Linked DNA regions of Arabidopsis thaliana. The protein of the gene in region 2 interacts with the protein of the main gene of each other region in a pairwise test. Each region holds a gene or a part of one and is shown on either strand. Other genes may lie near its edges.

Region 1 (8,030 bases), on a different chromosome or scaffold from region 2:
TATCATGTCCATTCGGGGAATCTGATACTTTCTTAGTAGCTTGATGTGATAGTCAGTTCATACACAAGTTCCAATTATACATATTCTCCTCTTCATTTTATGGCAGGTGATAGCAGTTGGACCGGGTTCCCTAGACGAGGAAGGTAAAATTACGCCTCTACCAGTATCAACCGGAAGCACAGTACTTTACTCCAAGTATGCTGGTAACGACTTCAAGGGCAAAGATGGTTCCAACTACATTGCCCTCAGAGCTTCAGATGTGATGGCTATACTTTCTTAGTTATGTTATATCTTTGTAATCTGCAACTTGTATCCCAATTGTGGAAATTTTTTCCGTAAACGGCCTGAGCATAATCTGGAATAAAGACTTGAGTTTGAAAATGTGATTTTATTGCTGATTTCATGTTTTTCCTTCTCTTTTTGGTTACAAGCGGTTTCAGTTGATCAGTTAAACTTGGTAGAAACAGTGACTCACAGCAAATAAAATCTCCGTGTAAACTTAGTGGAAGATATTTTACAGGTAAATGCTCTACAGTGCCCAGTGGAAACTTGAGACATGTTATCAACGAGAAGTTATATTACAAAACGAAGAAAAAAGAATCTTTGTCTGTGAGAGAACTCTTCTGCCATCACCGGTTAAACGAAGTGGCTGAGTTATCATCATAATGACCTCTCCAAGCATTGCCACTGTCACCGCCACTACAAGCTTGATTAGTAACTGGTACACCGGCAAAGTTCCCGTCTAAGCTCATCTGCTGAACCTCAGCTGATGAAAGGATCTTAATGCTCTGAACACAGTTTACGAATTCTCTGCAAAAATCACGATTTTAAAGGTTAGCAAAAAAATAATGGAACTTCTAACAGTCTGATGTGTGAATGTAATTGCTCTCTACTTACTCCCATGGATCATCGCCGACGAGGAGGATGTCATTTTCATGATCGACATAAACAAGTTTCCAGTCAGATGTTTGAGGATCTTCGAGCTGTCCTTCGATCCCAAACATGCGCGCTAGATCATGCCTCAGCTCATCGTAACCTCTGTAACGGTTGACGTCTATTGATCTCCCCACTGAGCCTCGTTTTTGCACCTGTAGGAAAATTTAACATTTGTCAAACCGAAAACATAACCCAAATATCAACAAGCATAGATCAGAGCACAATCGAACCTTTGTATAAGTTCGCATTCGCTGAGTCTGAGCTGGCCACAATCCACCACCAAGAACTCCAGCATCGTTGACAGCTAGATCGTTCGAAATGGCGGGCACATTGGGGACACCAAAAGATTGAGTTCTTACAGCTGAAGTAGACATCTCTGTACCAATGTCATTTGTCACTCCTCCATAGTTTGAAAGCATGTTCTGAAGATCTTTCTGGGAGTCATATCCCCTCGAGAGTAGCGTGTCAGGCACAAAGCCATTATCAACATTAGCTCCACCGAGCAAGCTGTTCCTGGAATCACCGTCAAGGCCAAAAGTTGGAGCCAAGAAATTTTGTTGTCTGTTGTTTTCGCCTCCATCTAAACCGTAAGAAGTTCCAGAGGCAGATGCTTCTAGTTGATGATCTGTTAAACTAGCTTTGGACTTTTGCTGACCCACGAGTTCTTGTTTTAGCCGCATATCGGATTTGCTGTAAAGATCCTGAACAAGATTACCAGACATATCAATCGCTGCATCAGGTATCAAGATCGCTGGCCCGCTTTGGCTTCTGTTGAGAAAGCCTGAAGAAGAGATCTGACAGTTGTTGGTGGAAGGCGACGTTGAAGAGGAAGGTGCATCTCCTCCATCTGTGATGCCTGAATAAGCTTTGACCCCTCCCCCAACCGGTGGGTTTTGTTTTTCCTGAGGTCGGCTCACCAGCATTTGAGGTGGTTGCAACGTCGATAAGCCATTGTTAGTGCAAGATGACGGAAACTGATGACCTTGAGAGAGAGTAGGCAGCTGTTGCAACTGCTGGCTTTGCAATTGATGGTGTGGTAACTGAGACTGCGGCGAAAGAAATTGCTGCTGCTGTTGCTGTTGTAATCTCTGTAACAGCTGAAACTGTATATGCGGCTGTTCCAAGAGACTCTGCTGGAATATCTGTTGGGCCTGTGCCTGGTGAGCTTTCTGCTGCAAAAGTGTTTGCTGATTCTGCCCGTTGAGACCAGGAGGCTGCTGCTGTTCTACTTGTCGTGAAAACTGTGTCTCTTGCGGCGGTGCGGACATCAGATTGGATGAAGACTTGCTGGTTTCAATTACACTACTCTGGCTAGTGCTAGCACCTAAATGGTGATGTGCTTGTTGAAGTTGCTTAGACTGTTGTTGTTGCTGTTGAAAGCTTTGATTAAGGGAGCTGGACGGAGGCGTGATGACACTGCTTGCCATTGATCCCGAAACTAATTGTGGTTGCAAATGATGTGTAGATGCTTGTTGCGACTGATGCTGCTGCGCTGCTTGTTGACCATTGTAAAGCTGATTCTGTGGAACCTGAAGTTGCTGCAACTTATGTTGTTGTAACTGTTGTGGCTGTGGATGCGAGTGAGATTGCAATGGCTGTGTTCTTAGCTGCTGCTGCTGAGTCTGTTGCTGTAACGGTTGTTGATGTTGTTGCTGCAGTTGTTGTTGTTGTTGCTGCTGGAGCAATTGTTGTTGTTGCTGAGACTGCGATTGATTGTTGTTGCTGTGTTGTTGAGACTGCAATTGTTGTTGCTGCTGCAGCAACTGTTGTTGTTGTTGCTGTTGTTGAGACTGCGATTGCTGTTGTTGATGGTTCAAAGAGGAGTGCAACAATTGCTGCAGCTGCTGTTGTTGGGACAACGTAGTTGGTGGCTGAGGCAACTGAGACATTGGGGCTTGCTGATTCTGTTTGTTAAATTGGAGATTTGAGGAGGAAATCCCCCCGTGCGGCGTCTGAAAGCTCAGTAACTTGGAGGGATCATCAGTGCCGCCAAGATTGTTGTGCAGCGCCGCGGTTGGCGAAAGCATTGATGGGAAGAAACCTGGCTGTGCAGCAGCAGAGGGTAGCTGGCCGTTCTGCTGCTGCATATTCATCCACTGAACTAAACTCAGACCAGGAAAGATAGTACTCGAAGGGTCTTTCATCTCTAAGCTATTATCAAGCCATGGCATTGCTCTCTTCAGTGCAGACTCCATGTCAGTCTCATCATCTGCAAGAGCACCGGAAATTCCGTCCTTGAGGAGATTCAAAGAAGTTGTGTCGAAATGAAATGGTACAAAAATTTACCTGGCATTCCAGGTTGTCCAGAAAAGCGAGGTCGGAAAAATGGAGGAGGACATATGTAGAAAGGAGTTAAAACCGGTTCAATGTCCCAAACTGAAACTCGACTGGGCCTATCACCAGCAGCTGACTCATCCCATCCAATCTTTAGCAGAAACAGAAACAAAGCATAACTAAAATGAATGGTGCAATGTATCAAGAAAGACAAATCTGACATTCATCATGAGTTTTACTTCAAACTACCTGAAGATTCCGCCACTGAGAGTTTTTCCATCTCACTGGATCAAGATCACTGATACCGGTAACTGTACCCATATACCGACGAACTCCACATTCTTCAGTCTCAAATATCATTCTAAACCGCATACCGAGGGAAACTTGAGCGTACATCGCTTTGGTATACTTGGCTAAAGGAACCACAAACTCAGCAGGAGCAGCCCTGAAAAAACTCGGTTGTAAATCTCTCAGCAATTGCCATGAAACAAGCATATATAGTAAGGTTAACGTAGACAAAAGGAAACATAGATCGCCACCTCGGGTTGTAGAAAATGGTGAAAGGACTGTTATTAGCATTAGCATGAGCTGCAGCTGCAAGAACTCCGATGTGCATGCTATCACTTGATATTACAGATGAAGAAAGTGCAGGCTGTTGTCTATTTGCACGTCTTATCCCCAACAGAAGTTGCGCCTTTCCATCTCTTAATTGAAAGAAAAAAAGAATTAGCATCTTGACAAAAAAAAATACCGAAAGAGAGCATTGGCACATTGAGATTGATATACCTTATAAAAAGAACAGAGTCTCCAGCAAAGAGCCTTTTCGTGCTGACAAACACACTCCAGCCTGTAGTTAGCAAGTGCCTTTTTGGTTGACCTGATAAATGTCAACATATCCAAAACGTAAGAACAATTCTACGAAAGCCAAATTGATTAAAGAAGGTAATCTACCAAAAACAAGGTAAAACCTCGATAAATATGTCTGAAAGTCCATGTGTTGTCATGAATATCCTTAGCAACAAGCTCCTGACAAGGTGGTTGCATCGAGAAATCCTAGTAAAATATTGCCAACAATGTAAGAAACTAAGGCAATACAGAGATACTAACTATCAGATGTATAAGAAAGTATTGTATATACACCAGAGCAGGAAAGATTTTCTCAGCAGCTCGTCGGGGTACAGAAAATCCACCGTGAGTACTTGTGTCACTCGCCGTGAGGGTTTTGCAGAAAAATTCATTAGGTTGTCTGTTTAGCTTAAGACCCATGTCAGAAGCAAGCAATGCATCTCTGTCATACTGTTCAACAAAATGCTCAGAGCAATTAGTCCCTCCCTACTCCTTAAATACACCTATAAATCGAGTTATTCAGTGAAAGGTAAGCTACTTTGTTTACTGGCTGAAGAGTCATCTGCGCATAGACCTCATCCGTCTCAGGATCAGCCTGGTTCACAGTCGACAATTAGCAAAACATTAGCAACTCAAAAGCAAAAAATGTTAAAACAACTAGCCTAAGAGGCCATTATAGATATTTAAAAGATACCATACATTCAGTGTAACATTGTGGAGCATGCATATGAGCTTGGAAGGAAGATTCGGGTAACTTGGTATGAAATCAGTCTGCTTCTGCATTGAAGCCGCGACCTAAGAAACAGAAAAATAAATAGCAACCACATGAAATTTCCAATCAGCGACTCATTCTTGATCAGCCGCGAATGATACCAAACTTTATTGAACAACATACTTGCTCACTGTGACCTTGAGGGAAGTAAACAACAAGACTTCCTGCTGGAGGCAACGAAATCAATGGCCCAGCACAAGCGTGCCATAGCTCTGAGTTTATATTTCTCCTTTCTCCTGCATTCACACAACATCAAAGCTGTGATTACTTAAAATCTCTAGGATCTTCATTCAGTTACTATTATCAAACCAACAAGATAGGAGAGAACTGCTCTAAACCAACTAAAAGCCACAGTCTTTATAAACCAATACAATAGTAACTTAGCTTACTCTCTAAGCAGAAAATGACCGAAACCAATTCAATTCAGGTTCTCAAATCCAGCAATTCTGAAGAAATGTGTGACCTCTTCTACTTAAAACTTGAATCTATTCAAATCCAGCAATGAATTTCTTCTACTAAAGGATTGACATTTATCAGATACGAGAAACACACAAACCTTCAACAGGATTAGGAGAAACTCCATTTGATGAAGGAGCTTTCATGATCACTCAACTTTACTTTCTCTGAAGAATAAACCCAATAAATAATCTGAATCTGAGCTTATACAAAGCTAAGCTCTTTGCGTGAGAGCTTCATCAAAAGCCCTAAACTTTCACTCAAGTTGTTAATAGCTTCCTAGCTCAAGTAACAGCAGAGAGAATCGTTAATCAGAAATGGGGAACTCCAAGATCTCAGCTTTTTATCTCCGACAGAGCCGCCAATTTCTCGGAAATTTTAAGTATCTCAAAGAGATCAAAAACCACGACTTTTCACACGCGGAATCTCCGGAGAGACAAACAAAGCATACGACCTTAAAAAAGATTCCGTTTTTAACGAAGCTCTTTATCTCGAGTCAGATAATTCAAAAACACCCACAAAGTTACTTGATTCAGCTGCTCTTCTTTGTTTTGCTTTCCTTTCTTGGGGGGAATCAAATCAAAGAGACGGGTTTCTATAAAAAGAAATCTGGAAAATGAATCGAAAGAGAAAAACAAAACTTAAGGATGACCAAGGACAATCGAAGATTAAGACTCAAACGTGAGAGAAAGAGCAACAGAGTTGTCGGAAAGGGATGATCAGCGACCAGGACAACTACCAAAAGGTCTGCTAAAGCACAGGAACAGCTTTTTCTTCTTCCTCTCCTTTTTTTTTCCTTCTCTTTTCTTTTTCCGATATTTTTATTTTTTTATACCTATTTAGTTATGCTCATGAAGCCGACATATTCACTAGCAAACTGGCCACGATTTAATTTCTTAATGTTATTATTGTCCTCTAAAATTTTAACTTTGACACACAAAAAAACAACTTTATTAGTGTTTTCTTTTTCCTTATCTCTGATAATTTGATAAGTTTTTTTCATTAAGGTTATTATTACTGTATCATTTATTGTAATACTTGATTAGGGATAACATAGATTTATAGGGGATGTATTGAAAAAAACAAACTAAGCTGACTAGCTAGTTATTTGATCAAAGTGCGTACATATATGTTTGGCAATTTCTTTTGTAGTTAACTATATTTAATTCAGATAGATTTTAGGATTCATAATTCATCAAAAAATTTTATGATTTTCATTATTTTGAACAAAAGCATTTTACTAGAAATTTTGTGGAGTTTTACATGGTTGGTTCTGAGTTTCATAAACTAGCGTTCATGTTTTAAACGAGAATGGAACTTAAATGTTTAGTAATGAGTTCTATAATAACAAACAAATCTAAATTCGCTTAGATCATCATTATAAACAATTGATCTTATTTTGTTGTAAATGTTGATTAATTGATCAAATCTAAGTACATACAGCATATGCGATCACAAAGAACAATATTTTAACGGACGATTTCATATCAAAAATGATAGAAGTTCTCTCTTTGTTCATGATTCTTTATTGGTTTCTTATATTAATTAACCTAAACTTTTGTCTTTTGGAAGAAGTGTTATAATGTCACACAAAATAAAATTACATATGATGATCACAACTTACACTCTTTTCCCAGTACAGCCATCATTCAAAATTTTCCTCTATAATCGTTAAAATGTCTACCCAAAAAAAAACGGTGATATATATTCCTAAACATATTGGAAAACCGAATATAACCATAAATATGTCATTGTACAAACTACAATCTATTTGGTTTAAGGCCACATAACAAGTTTTATCTACCAAAGACTGAACCTCCATATTCATCACAGACCATTGTAAAATGCATGTAAACCCTTTGAATGACCCCACATCAAAAAAGAAAGTTACAAAACAGTAACCTCTTTGTTAGTTTAGGTTCGATCCAAAACTTATTTGGCAGGAATGCTTAAAATTCTATATACTTACAACTTTAAGTGAAGGTAATATATATGTATGGAATGAATGGATGTCAATTCAAATAAGTGGCAGTGAGTAGCGACATGATGTCCCTGAGCAATAAATGCGTGAAGACAGAAGTTTGGAGATTGGATGAATGTAAGAAGGCCTTTTGAAGTTATGGATTTCGACGCCTAGCTTTTTTTTTTCTTTTTTTTTTGTGAAACTTTGAGGCCTAGCTAACGTTTAAAAAAAGAAAAAGAAAAATGTTAATAGTTTTCTTATTACAAAGTGACCGAAATTTAGTATGAACTCCGAACTACGACTTCATGCATGTATTAAAGTTGGAATGAAAGGAAGAAGAGCGTGACGCATTTCAGAACCGGTTGTGTGTCCGTATGGTGTCCGCAGTGGAAAGTGGAAAATGAACAAGATGAATAACTCATATACTGTCCTAAAGATATTTCCAGAATCACATCAACGTATTTTAGCCGATTTAATGAATTCGACAGTTGGTGTTGACAATATATGTAAATGTAACCACAAAATACACCACTTGAGTTGGATGAATTATCAGAGAGAGACGAGGAAGTTTCGTTACGATTCCATGATTTTCTCGACTTTACTATGTCATTCTGATATGCATTATTTGTTAATTTGTATGTAAGAGAGAGTTGTGGAAAATAATCTACGTACTGATTAATTTTTTGCGTTTTAAGTGATTTTAGATTTCCGCTAAACATAAACTTTTCTAGCATAATTTTTGTAAAACGCTAAACATAATTTTTTAACATAAATTTTGTAAAA
Region 2 (4,177 bases):
TTTATCAATATATATATATATTAATATATATTTACAAGCGTGAAGTCATCTCCATCATTTATCTTCAACCATTTGATTACAAGTTATGTATCATGAATCTGCTTTTGTCTTTTCCTTATGATTCCAAATGATATTAACCTTCAACTTGTTGCATGTTCACAAGAGACAAACACAATTCACGGTATATTTGATCAATTGTAATTCGTTACATACATAACTTTAATTCATTGAAATATACACGAACTAGATCAATTAAAAAATTCAGGACGTTGAAAAAGCTTTACAAAAGAAAAGAATGTATAACTTTTCCTTTACACGAATAGTAAATGAGAAAAACTCACATCTACAATTTTCGTTATCGTGTTAAATAGTATACAAATTTAAACCACTTTTTGAGCATTTAGACCTAAGTTTTATTTTCCGGAGATAAGCTGTTATTTTGCTCTGTTTACGTTTTCTTTTGCATCACTACTCTTATGCATATGTATATAAGTCCTCACTTTACTCATTAATAAATTTCTTATTTAAACTAAAAAATCATATACCGAAGTTACTATAAAACCTACGAATTCTCTCTAATTCATAAACATTTGTAAACAGCATTCATTAATACTATATGATAGATAATAAATAACTGTTCGTATAATCTACTTATTTTTCTTATTTCACCTTTACAGACAACCCCACAGCCCACTTGGGTATCGACTTTATAGTTAAAGCAATGTTCGTGCCTTTTGTCCTATAAAGGAACGACACAGGTAGCGCCTAAGAAAAAAATAAAAACTAACAAGTGAGTAAAAATGCAAAATAAGTAGAAGGGAAAAAGAAAAAACGAGTATAAAAATCACACGCAATTCTAGAACAAACGTAGATAACGTGAAAAACATAGAATCAACTATTTGATATTGACTAACTGTTAGTGTACTTGGAACTGTGAGAATAAGTCGCTTTGAAGTCTGAAGAGGTTCAGGTGTCCTGAGTTTCTAAATAAATAAAGAGAACAAACTTGTACTTGTTTTTTGGTTGTGAAATATTACTGTATCTTAATACTGTGAAATTTCAACATATTTCTTGAAACTAAGTTTGGTATTTCTAGCAAATCCATCAATAGAGTATGAAATTCAATGTTCTCATTTAGTCATGATTTTGATCAAAAGAGAATTTTCCACACATCAATTGCGATTGAAAAAGTTTTCAAAGGATCATCATAGCTCACATCAAGAAACATGATGATGAATAATCTCATCACCACTATTTATTTAATAATTCCTTATAATGAAAACCAATTTTGTTCTCACTTTATTTGGAACCCATCATAGTCTAGTCCTCCACGAAAAAAAGAAAAGAAAATAAATGAGCATATAGTGACCCAAAACTAAACCCAAATTCAACTTTTTTTCAAAACTGGTACTTAGCTATACGTTTTCACATATTTAACAGTTGTTACTATGAACATGATATAAAGCATAGCTAACCAGATAAGATCAAACGCAACGAATACAAAATAAACTCTAATATAGCAATCATCAAAACGAATACAAATTCTTGCAAAAATAGAAAAGAAAGTGTGATGCAAAAACAAAGCTTTCCACAAATACAAACACATAACACAAAAACAACAGTTTATATATTTAATATAGTTTAATAAGATATGTTTGTTTTGTTTATCATATTTTTTTATAAACACAGGAGAAAACAATAAGGTAAACGGGAGCACGACAAGTTTGATAATGTCGGGAAGAAAAGTTAAAAAGAATTTCTTTGTTAATAATAAAATTAGGGAATAAAAAAAGGGTAAAAGAGAAGAAGAAAGAATGGCATTGTTGTTGGTATGGCCACTACCAGACATATGGGTCCTACTCTTCTCATCACTCTCTCCACCACCTAATCCTCTCTCTCTTTCTTCTTCCTCAATTCTTGAAACTCTCTTTCAGATTTCAAGAAACCCTTAAAATCCTCTCTCTGTCTCTTTCTGTTTGTTTGTTTTCTTGTTTCCTTCTCTCTCTCTCTTTCTTTCTTTGTCTTCCTTTCCCAGGTTGTTTTTTTTTGCTCTCTCTGCCTTCTTGACTTTCAAAAGACTCTTTCTTTCTTTTGGATTGATTTTGGATTCTAGGGCTCTCTTTCTTTTAGTGGGTTTTTGTTGTTGTTGTTGTGGTCTCTCTGATGATTACTGAACTTGAGATGGGGAAAGGTGAGAGTGAGCTTGAGCTTGGTCTAGGGCTGAGTCTTGGCGGTGGAACGGCGGCCAAGATTGGTAAATCAGGTGGTGGTGGCGCGTGGGGAGAGCGTGGAAGGCTTTTGACGGCTAAGGATTTTCCTTCTGTTGGTTCTAAACGTGCTGCTGATTCTGCTTCTCATGCTGGTTCATCTCCTCCTCGTTCAAGGTTCGTCTTTTTCAAGCTTTTTGGTTTCAAAGAAAGATCTTTTAAGATGTTTAATTCCTTTTGTATGATGTGAAATTGCTATTCTCTGAACATAGTTCGTTTAGGAGTTTCTTAAAGATTCTTTAGTGTTTGGATGTATACTTGATCTGAGTTATGTCGGAAGAAATGCTCTGGTTTGGAATTAGGAATCTTGAATAGTTGAATCTGTTCTTGGTTTTGATTCATTTGGATAGATTACAAGTCCTGACTTGATGTTTGCTTTGTTTGTAGCAGTCAAGTTGTTGGATGGCCTCCTATAGGGTCACACAGGATGAACAGTTTGGTTAATAACCAAGCTACAAAGTCAGCAAGAGAAGAAGAAGAAGCTGGTAAGAAGAAAGTGAAAGATGATGAACCTAAAGATGTGACAAAGAAAGTGAATGGGAAAGTACAAGTTGGATTTATTAAGGTGAACATGGATGGAGTTGCTATAGGAAGAAAAGTGGATTTGAATGCTCATTCTTCTTACGAGAATTTGGCGCAAACATTGGAAGATATGTTCTTTCGCACTAATCCGGGTACTGTCGGGTTAACCAGTCAGTTCACTAAACCGTTGAGGCTTTTAGATGGATCGTCTGAGTTTGTACTTACTTATGAAGATAAGGAAGGAGATTGGATGCTTGTTGGTGATGTTCCATGGAGGTAATAGATCTAAAAACCTTGTTTATTTATCTCTTACACTTCCAATAAATGTTTCTGATGGTCTTTTTGTTGGAATTATCTTAGAATGTTCATCAACTCGGTGAAAAGGCTACGTGTGATGAAAACCTCTGAAGCTAATGGACTCGGTATGTAGATAATCTCATCTTGATTCCTGTTCTTGTTTCTCAAGATGACGCAATGAAAAATTTCTACTAAAACATGTTAATATATATGCAGCTGCACGAAATCAAGAACCAAACGAGAGACAGCGAAAGCAGCCGGTTTAGATCTCTTTTCGACGTTACGGTGTTACAGGTTTTATATTTTGGGGTTTTGCAAGTCTGAGATACTTCTGAAGCAAGCATAAGCTAGATTGATCTTATATCCAGTTTGTGTATTTTCTTGGTTCTTATAATGGTTTTTACTGGTTTTCTTTAGTTTTTTTTTTTGCTGTCTTTTAATTTTCGGTTGCGATTTCACTATATACTATGGATGGAAGAGAATGCTCTTTATATCTTTTACTACACTGTAAATATTTGAAGCTTATCTAATATCGTTTTTAAGGGTTTTTGTTGATGAGTCTACTCTAATGATCTTAGAACTATGCCAATATATCCACAAATAACTACTCAGATCAAATGGGGTTACGGAAACATAAGGCAAGAAAGCAAATAGATTACAAAACTCATAATGTATTTACAACTCAAAACGTTTCACACAGGTTAAACTTCTTATAATAGTGATTGTGAAAATCCTTAATACATACATATTCCTCTCACTGTTAGCTTTTGAGTAATGTAATTGAAGCAGTGACTACAATACTCTACTTTAAGCAAAAGAATAAGCAAGCAACCAACGTTTTCAAGTCATAAGCTTTTAAATTCCCTAGTGACATTTAGCCTTGAGTTTTACGGGACTCTCTGAGTTGTTGATCTCTGATACTCTGCCTCCAACATTGAAGAAGTTTTGAAACAGAATTGCATATTTTTCGGTTCTTGTGTTTTGTAAGATTCTCTAGCCTAACCATGAGCTTCCTTGTTTCCATAGCTCTTGCGCTGATGGGGAACTCCAAGAGCAAAGCGAGGGTATCTACGCACATTGATGTTTCTACT
Region 3 (7,109 bases), on a different chromosome or scaffold from region 2:
AATCGAAATAAATGAGATAACAAAAGTATTACAATAAATTTATTGAAAGACACCAAACCAGATGAATGATCCGTTGAGCTATCCAACAAGGGTCTAGATGACATTGAAGAATGTTAATGATAAATAATGAGAACTGAGGCTGGCTTTGAGGATGAATTATGCAATCTTGCATTGCGCTTTTTTCCATATGGAGTACAGTGAGGCTTGATAGGCAATTCGAAGAATCAAAGTAGTTTTCTTGTCACGACAAGGATTCTTCAACCATCTAACTTCATCCTCAAATTGATTTAGAGGAGAAAGATGGGCTTTATCATAGAAATAGTGTCATACCTTTGCAACATAAGAGCAGTCGAAGAATAAATGTTAGCGAGATTCATCCATCAAATTACAGAGAAGACACGACGAAGGAGTAGTCATGCCCCATCGAATCATTTTGTCTCTAGTGAGAAGTCTATGATGAGACTTTAGCCAAGCAATGAAAGCATGCTTAAGAATCCTTCCTGGAAATCACACAGATTCAAACCGATCCATCTTTGTGTCAGGAGGATGAAGATGTGCATAAGTTTTTTTTTGAATATTAATGTGCCTAAGTTTTAGCAGCAGAGAAAATATTTGATGCATGGATATCATCACCTTCCAAAGGTAAACATCATCCTCTACATCCTCTTGTAAGTTAACAGTAGAATAGGAAGGAAGACATTCTTTAAGCAACTGAATAATGGGACTGCGACTTCGAGAATTTGTAAGCCACTATTGTCTCTTTCTCAATGCATCCGCAACCACAACAGAACGAGGGAGAAGAGAAATTCTTAGTCATAAATCTTCAGGTTAGCTCGACAAATATGGTCCCAAAAAAATCCAATTATCAGTCCAGAAATTACAAGTTATTTCTGAACCAATTTCACAAACGATGAAAAACCTAGTTAAGGGTCTTAACTTGCAAAGATTATTCCAAATCCAGCTTCTCCAAGTGATACACTCCATATCCCAAATTTTTTAAAAATTATTCAAACAAGATCCATGTGTATTAGTTTTCTCTTTTGGTAAGTAAAATAGTGGTATCCATAAGATGTTGGATTATCGGGCATCTATTTGCTAATGATTGTTTCTAAATTAGAACTTAGATTTGCGAATCTAATAATACATCACTTATCAATAGATAAACCTTTGACCATTTTTTCAACGAACTCATAAAAGATCCAACAAAATATTTTTTGAGTTATTAAATTAAATACTACTATAAATTATCTTTAAATAAATCAAATTATGGGAGTATTTGGTGTTTCTTTCATCAATGAATGGAGCAAAAATAAAAAGTATTTAAAATAAACAACGCTAACATTTATGACAACTCTATTATCTCTCTCTCACTCTCTCACTTCAAATACTATAATTCATTGTCCTTTTCATCGAATCCAAGACCTCAAAAAAAACAATTATTATTTTTCAACGATCAAGATCTCAAGAGTCAAATCCAACGGTCAAAAAGAAGTGACTCTGGTACTGACACCACCTCTCATAATTCTCGTTAGTAGGACCTCTCTTCTTCTTCCTTCTCTCCACTGTATCGGATCCGGGTCAAATCCGGGTCGGGTGGAGTCGGGTCGGGTCTCTTATAAGAGGAGGAAAACCACTTACTCACTTTCTTCTTCTTTTCTCTCTCTCTTTCACCCCCACGCACTCTTCTTTTCTCTCTCTGACACATATCTTTTTCTCTCACTAACCATTTCTTTCTCTCTCTCTCTTCTGTTTTTGAAAGCCAAAGTGTCTCTCTTGGACAGTGATGGAACTGCTTCAAGAGATTTAATTTTTTACCCACGAGAGAAGTCAAGTTGTTGAAGAAGAAAGATTTGTTCTTTTGTCTTGTTTCTTTCATTTTTTCATCCACAAAGATCTCAAAGACAAGAGTTTTTTTTTTTCTGTTGGGGTTGCTTCAATGCGTACTTGTAGTAGAGAGCTTGTGTTGTTGTTCATGGTTTGATGATGAGAAGAAACAGATTCTGGTTTTGAAGAAATGGGGTTTGTTCTGTTTCTTGTGTTTAAGGGTTTTATGGATGGTTTTTTGATTCGAAGCTTTCACTGAGTCTTATGGTTGTGAGTGAGATTTTTGGGGGTTTGAACAAAGGAGATGGAGAAAGACGAGTTTGTACTTCCGGAGCTAAAGAGTTATAGCTACTGTAGTAGCTGGAAGTGAAGAAGATTTTTTAATAGATTGTACGGAAAAATTAGGGTTTTCAAAGTTTGGTTTCTTGAAGTTGAATTAGACATGAAGCTGTCAACATCTGGATTGGGTCAACAGGGTCATGAAGGTGACTTGTTTACTCTCTGATTTTCTTAGTTCTGTTTCTGGACAAGTGTTTTCTTAGTTCTTGTGTCTGTGTTTGTTCTAACAGGAGAGAAGTGTCTGAATTCTGAGCTATGGCATGCTTGTGCTGGACCATTAGTCTCTCTTCCATCATCTGGTAGTCGAGTTGTTTACTTTCCACAGGGTCACAGTGAACAGGTTTGGGTTGTTGTTTAAAAGTATGGAGCTTTATTTTTAGACTTGTGTTATATTTGGGCATTTCCATTTAAATAGAAGTGTACTTGTAGGTAGCTGCTACAACTAATAAGGAAGTTGATGGTCACATACCCAATTACCCAAGCCTACCACCACAATTGATATGCCAGCTCCATAATGTTACAATGCATGTGCGTAGTTAGTTCCCTGTCCCTTTCCATATTCAATTTTTACTTTTGTAAACTAGTTTTGGGATGATGTGCTTTGTAAGTATGGGTTTCGTTTCTACTATTTCAGGCAGATGTTGAGACGGATGAAGTCTATGCTCAAATGACACTTCAACCATTGACACCGGTAGATACATTATACATAACAGGTTTTTGAGTCTGTGAATTAATAACTTAAGCTTTAGGATTGGTGTTGTTTATAGGAGGAGCAGAAGGAAACATTTGTACCGATTGAGTTGGGGATACCGAGTAAGCAACCTAGTAATTATTTTTGTAAGACTCTCACAGCTAGTGATACCAGTACACATGGAGGGTTTTCTGTTCCTAGACGTGCTGCTGAGAAAGTGTTTCCTCCATTGGTATTATACTTTTTCTTTTACTTACTTTGCTATAAATTGTTGTTGAGAAAATATATGTATTCCTTTTAATATCTTGTGTCTTCCCTGTTGCAGGATTACACACTGCAGCCACCAGCTCAAGAACTGATTGCAAGGGATCTCCATGATGTTGAATGGAAGTTTAGGCATATCTTTCGGGGTAGGTTTCACCTTTCCTCGGTGTGCGTTGATGATCCCTTTTTAACTGTAGTCGCCAGTGTAAAAATTTCAATTGGCTGTTAAGTATGTCTGAAGCAGCATCTGCTGTTATTTTCACTACTCATGTGTGGTTTAGTTGAAGAAACCACGGAGGCTCTGTGTTCTTGTCGTTGTCTATTATAACGTGGAATTATTTACTTGTTCATATGAAGTTAAGTTGATTTGAATCCTTCTTCTTGGTTTGTTAGGAATAACTTACATGGTTTTGGTGTGATTATGCAGGACAGCCCAAACGGCATCTCCTAACTACTGGATGGAGTGTCTTTGTCAGTGCCAAGCGACTAGTAGCTGGAGATTCTGTCATTTTCATCAGGTTTAGTTCTTTTGTTGTACGTTCAGTTTGTGGATTGTGATTATATTTGTAACACTATTACTTGTTTCCAGGAATGAAAAGAATCAACTCTTTTTGGGAATTCGTCATGCCACTCGGCCGCAGACTATTGTACCATCATCTGTTTTATCTAGTGATAGCATGCATATTGGACTCCTTGCTGCTGCTGCACATGCTTCTGCAACTAATAGCTGTTTCACTGTTTTCTTTCATCCAAGGTTGAAAAATCTCTCCCACCTGCATCTTTTTCATCTCTCGGTATATCCGATAATATATCCTACTAATATTCTCTTCATGTTCAGGGCTAGCCAATCTGAGTTTGTGATACAACTTTCCAAGTACATTAAAGCCGTTTTTCACACGCGTATTTCAGTTGGGATGCGCTTTCGCATGCTCTTCGAGACAGAAGAGTCGAGTGTCCGCAGGTGATGATGCCACATATCTGGAAATGCAATCTTGAAACTGAGAAAACTATATCATTATGTTACACATATTACTTTAACATGTTTTCTGACAGTGGCATGGGGAACTTTCCAGGTACATGGGTACTATAACTGGTATTAGTGATCTAGATTCTGTTCGTTGGCCAAACTCTCATTGGCGATCTGTGAAGGTAACAACACTATTAAGCCTGTTACCTTATTTAAATTCCATGGAACGTCACACAGCTTTCTGATGATTTAGTCCAATATTACTCTGAAATTCCATCAACATTGATGAACTGTGGCATTATTGGTGTAGGTTGGTTGGGATGAATCGACTGCAGGGGAGAGACAGCCAAGGGTTTCTTTATGGGAGATTGAGCCTCTGACTACCTTTCCTATGTATCCATCTCTTTTTCCTCTCAGACTAAAACGTCCATGGCATGCTGGCACATCATCTTTGCCTGGTATCCACCTTTTGGCTCTTCTCCTAACTGTTATTAACTAGTATAGTACGTTCGTGAAGTCTCTTACTGTCACTCAGTGTTTCTGCTATTGTAACTTAGTTGCTACTTCGGATAAATAACAAATGTTCGATTGAGTAGAGCTCTGAAGAGGGTCTTACTGTTATAATTTATTTACAAAGAAGTGTGTAGGTACTCTCCATAGCTATTTACTCAAAACATTATGATGTTACAGATGGAAGGGGTGATTTGGGAAGTGGTCTAACATGGCTAAGAGGGGGAGGTGGAGAGCAGCAAGGTTTGCTTCCTCTAAATTATCCATCTGTTGGTTTGTTTCCATGGATGCAACAAAGGCTGGATCTCAGTCAAATGGGGACTGATAATAATCAGCAATACCAAGCAATGTTAGCTGCTGGGTTGCAGAACATCGGCGGTGGAGATCCTTTAAGACAGCAGTTTGTACAGCTGCAAGAGCCTCACCACCAATATCTTCAACAATCAGCTTCCCATAATTCTGATTTGATGCTTCAGCAGCAACAGCAGCAACAAGCGTCACGCCATCTCATGCATGCTCAAACACAGATTATGAGTGAGAATCTTCCGCAGCAGAATATGCGACAAGAAGTTAGTAACCAACCAGCTGGACAGCAGCAACAGCTACAGCAACCGGACCAAAATGCATATCTTAATGCTTTCAAAATGCAAAATGGCCATCTTCAACAGTGGCAGCAGCAATCAGAGATGCCATCTCCCTCGTTCATGAAGTCAGATTTTACTGACTCAAGCAACAAATTTGCAACAACTGCTAGTCCGGCTTCTGGAGATGGCAATCTTTTGAATTTTTCTATAACCGGTCAGTCTGTACTCCCTGAGCAGTTAACAACAGAGGGCTGGTCTCCAAAAGCATCCAACACTTTTTCTGAACCGTTGTCACTTCCACAAGCCTATCCTGGGAAGAGTCTTGCTCTAGAACCCGGAAATCCGCAGAATCCCTCTCTTTTCGGTGTTGATCCCGACTCTGGACTCTTCCTCCCCAGTACGGTTCCCCGCTTTGCTTCTTCATCAGGAGATGCTGAAGCTTCCCCTATGTCACTAACAGATTCAGGATTTCAGAATTCCTTATATAGCTGCATGCAAGACACAACTCATGAGTTATTGCATGGAGCTGGACAGATTAACTCGTCCAACCAAACCAAGAACTTTGTAAAGGTGCTGGTTTGTTCTAGGCTCACCGACTTCTCTGTGGCTCTACTGTCTCTAAGAAAATACTGATATGCTTACAAATCCAAAACTGCAGGTTTATAAATCTGGTTCGGTTGGGCGTTCATTAGACATCTCCCGATTCAGCAGCTACCACGAGCTGCGAGAAGAGTTAGGGAAGATGTTTGCTATCGAAGGGTTGTTGGAAGACCCCCTTAGATCAGGCTGGCAGCTTGTATTCGTTGACAAGGAAAATGATATTCTTCTCCTTGGTGATGACCCATGGGAGTAAGTAAAGTACTCTTCTTCTATTTGTATACATTGCTTTAGATTTGAGATAGATCTTTAAAAGCTTGTTCTGCAGGTCATTTGTGAATAACGTTTGGTACATAAAGATACTATCACCAGAAGATGTGCATCAAATGGGAGATCATGGAGAAGGCAGTGGTGGGTTATTCCCGCAAAACCCGACCCATCTCTAGAAGCTGCTTCGGTGTTAGTCTCATCATGCTACAACGCGGGAGCCCTTTGTTTCCCATTTGAAGTCGTTTCCACTCATCTTTATATGCCATTCGTTCGCATCTCTCTCGTTTTGACGTTTTTAGAAAGAAACATAATCATATTTGTGAGTATGGGTCCTGAAACTTTAGGACGTACTTTAGCTTGTATTAGACAGACACTCTCGTCATAAACATAAGAACCTTTATGTAGCTGTCTCAGGGTAACTAAACTTTTCTAGTATTTATTCTTATTCTATTTTTGTAACAACATTGTTAGACATTCAGTTTGGTCAGACCAATTAGATTCCATAAGGTGTGAAACCAAAACCAACCAAATCTTTAAAACACAACCATTAATCACAAAATGTTACCAAAAGCTTCTACTAGTAACTTAGGTTGAAGAATGACATAGATGAAGTACCAACAACTCATTTTCTCCCTTTCTTTTTGACCCAAAGAGTACTTAAACGTGCACACACATCAGACTTATCAACCTTGGACAGCATTCATGGCATCTCTCAATCTCTTATCATCTTTAGCATCATAGAAGCATTTACGTCTCTTCGAGTCACTTATAAGGTTTGCCCAAATCGAACCACTCCGAGCCAGTGTTGACTCATTTCCAATCACCCATAAACAGTGCCTAGCTCGAGTGAGTGCCACATTGGCTCTTTGACGGTTACTGAGAAATCCAACCTTCCCGTTACTATTACTTCTAACGGTAGAGATGATGATAATGTCTTCTTCACCACCTTGAAACCCATCTACAGACCGAACATTCACAGTGAAAAGCTCACCTGATAAGGAACTGTACTTATCTCTGATTCTCTCTTGGATTGCTCTAACTTGTCCTTTGTAAGGAGTAATCA

Evidence for each region. The genes of interacting proteins can lie anywhere in the genome.
Region 1: the proteins of IAA13 (region 2) and NPH4 interact in a two-hybrid assay, tested with the Arabidopsis thaliana proteins (3 studies listed by BioGRID).
Region 3: the proteins of IAA13 (region 2) and ARF8 interact in a two-hybrid assay, tested with the Arabidopsis thaliana proteins (3 studies listed by BioGRID).

The regions. Positions count from the first base shown.
Region 1 is NC_003076.8:7,016,075-7,024,104, forward strand, and holds NPH4 (Transcriptional factor B3 family protein / auxin-responsive factor AUX/IAA-like protein), read right to left. Parts: upstream 6,040-8,030; 5' UTR 5,431-6,039; coding exon 5,385-5,430; intron 5,065-5,384; coding exon 4,952-5,064; intron 4,852-4,951; coding exon 4,756-4,851; intron 4,652-4,755; coding exon 4,595-4,651; intron 4,507-4,594; coding exon 4,351-4,506; intron 4,264-4,350; coding exon 4,179-4,263; intron 4,088-4,178; coding exon 3,997-4,087; intron 3,915-3,996; coding exon 3,747-3,914; intron 3,656-3,746; coding exon 3,460-3,655; intron 3,362-3,459; coding exon 3,223-3,361; intron 3,146-3,222; coding exon 1,167-3,145; intron 1,089-1,166; coding exon 898-1,088; intron 811-897; coding exon 630-810; 3' UTR 396-629; downstream 1-395. Other genes in the region: CPN20 (chaperonin 20), read left to right, coding at 107-280. UniProt on the Arabidopsis thaliana protein: Auxin response factors (ARFs) are transcriptional factors that bind specifically to the DNA sequence 5'-TGTCTC-3' found in the auxin-responsive promoter elements (AuxREs).
Region 2 is NC_003071.7:14,113,744-14,117,920, reverse strand, and holds IAA13 (auxin-induced protein 13), read left to right. Parts: upstream 1-1,951; 5' UTR 1,952-2,163; coding exon 2,164-2,384; intron 2,385-2,654; coding exon 2,655-3,065; intron 3,066-3,149; coding exon 3,150-3,211; intron 3,212-3,302; coding exon 3,303-3,352; 3' UTR 3,353-3,640; downstream 3,641-4,177. Other genes in the region: AT2G33300 (Transcription elongation factor (TFIIS) family protein), read right to left, coding at 3,961-4,177. UniProt on the Arabidopsis thaliana protein: Aux/IAA proteins are short-lived transcriptional factors that function as repressors of early auxin response genes at low auxin concentrations.
Region 3 is NC_003076.8:14,627,885-14,634,993, forward strand, and holds ARF8 (auxin response factor 8), read left to right. Parts: upstream 1-1,568; 5' UTR 1,569-2,266; coding exon 2,267-2,309; intron 2,310-2,393; coding exon 2,394-2,503; intron 2,504-2,592; coding exon 2,593-2,691; exon of another isoform or gene 2,692-2,797; coding exon 2,798-2,854; intron 2,855-2,930; coding exon 2,931-3,086; intron 3,087-3,179; coding exon 3,180-3,264; intron 3,265-3,545; coding exon 3,546-3,636; intron 3,637-3,707; coding exon 3,708-3,872; intron 3,873-3,956; coding exon 3,957-4,079; intron 4,080-4,191; coding exon 4,192-4,267; intron 4,268-4,395; coding exon 4,396-4,543; intron 4,544-4,775; coding exon 4,776-5,749; intron 5,750-5,837; coding exon 5,838-6,028; coding exon of another isoform or gene 6,029-6,032; intron 6,033-6,104; coding exon 6,105-6,222; 3' UTR 6,223-6,570; downstream 6,571-7,109. Other genes in the region: AT5G37030 (P-loop containing nucleoside triphosphate hydrolases superfamily protein), read right to left, coding at 6,730-7,109. UniProt on the Arabidopsis thaliana protein: Auxin response factors (ARFs) are transcriptional factors that bind specifically to the DNA sequence 5'-TGTCTC-3' found in the auxin-responsive promoter elements (AuxREs). Seems to act as transcriptional activator.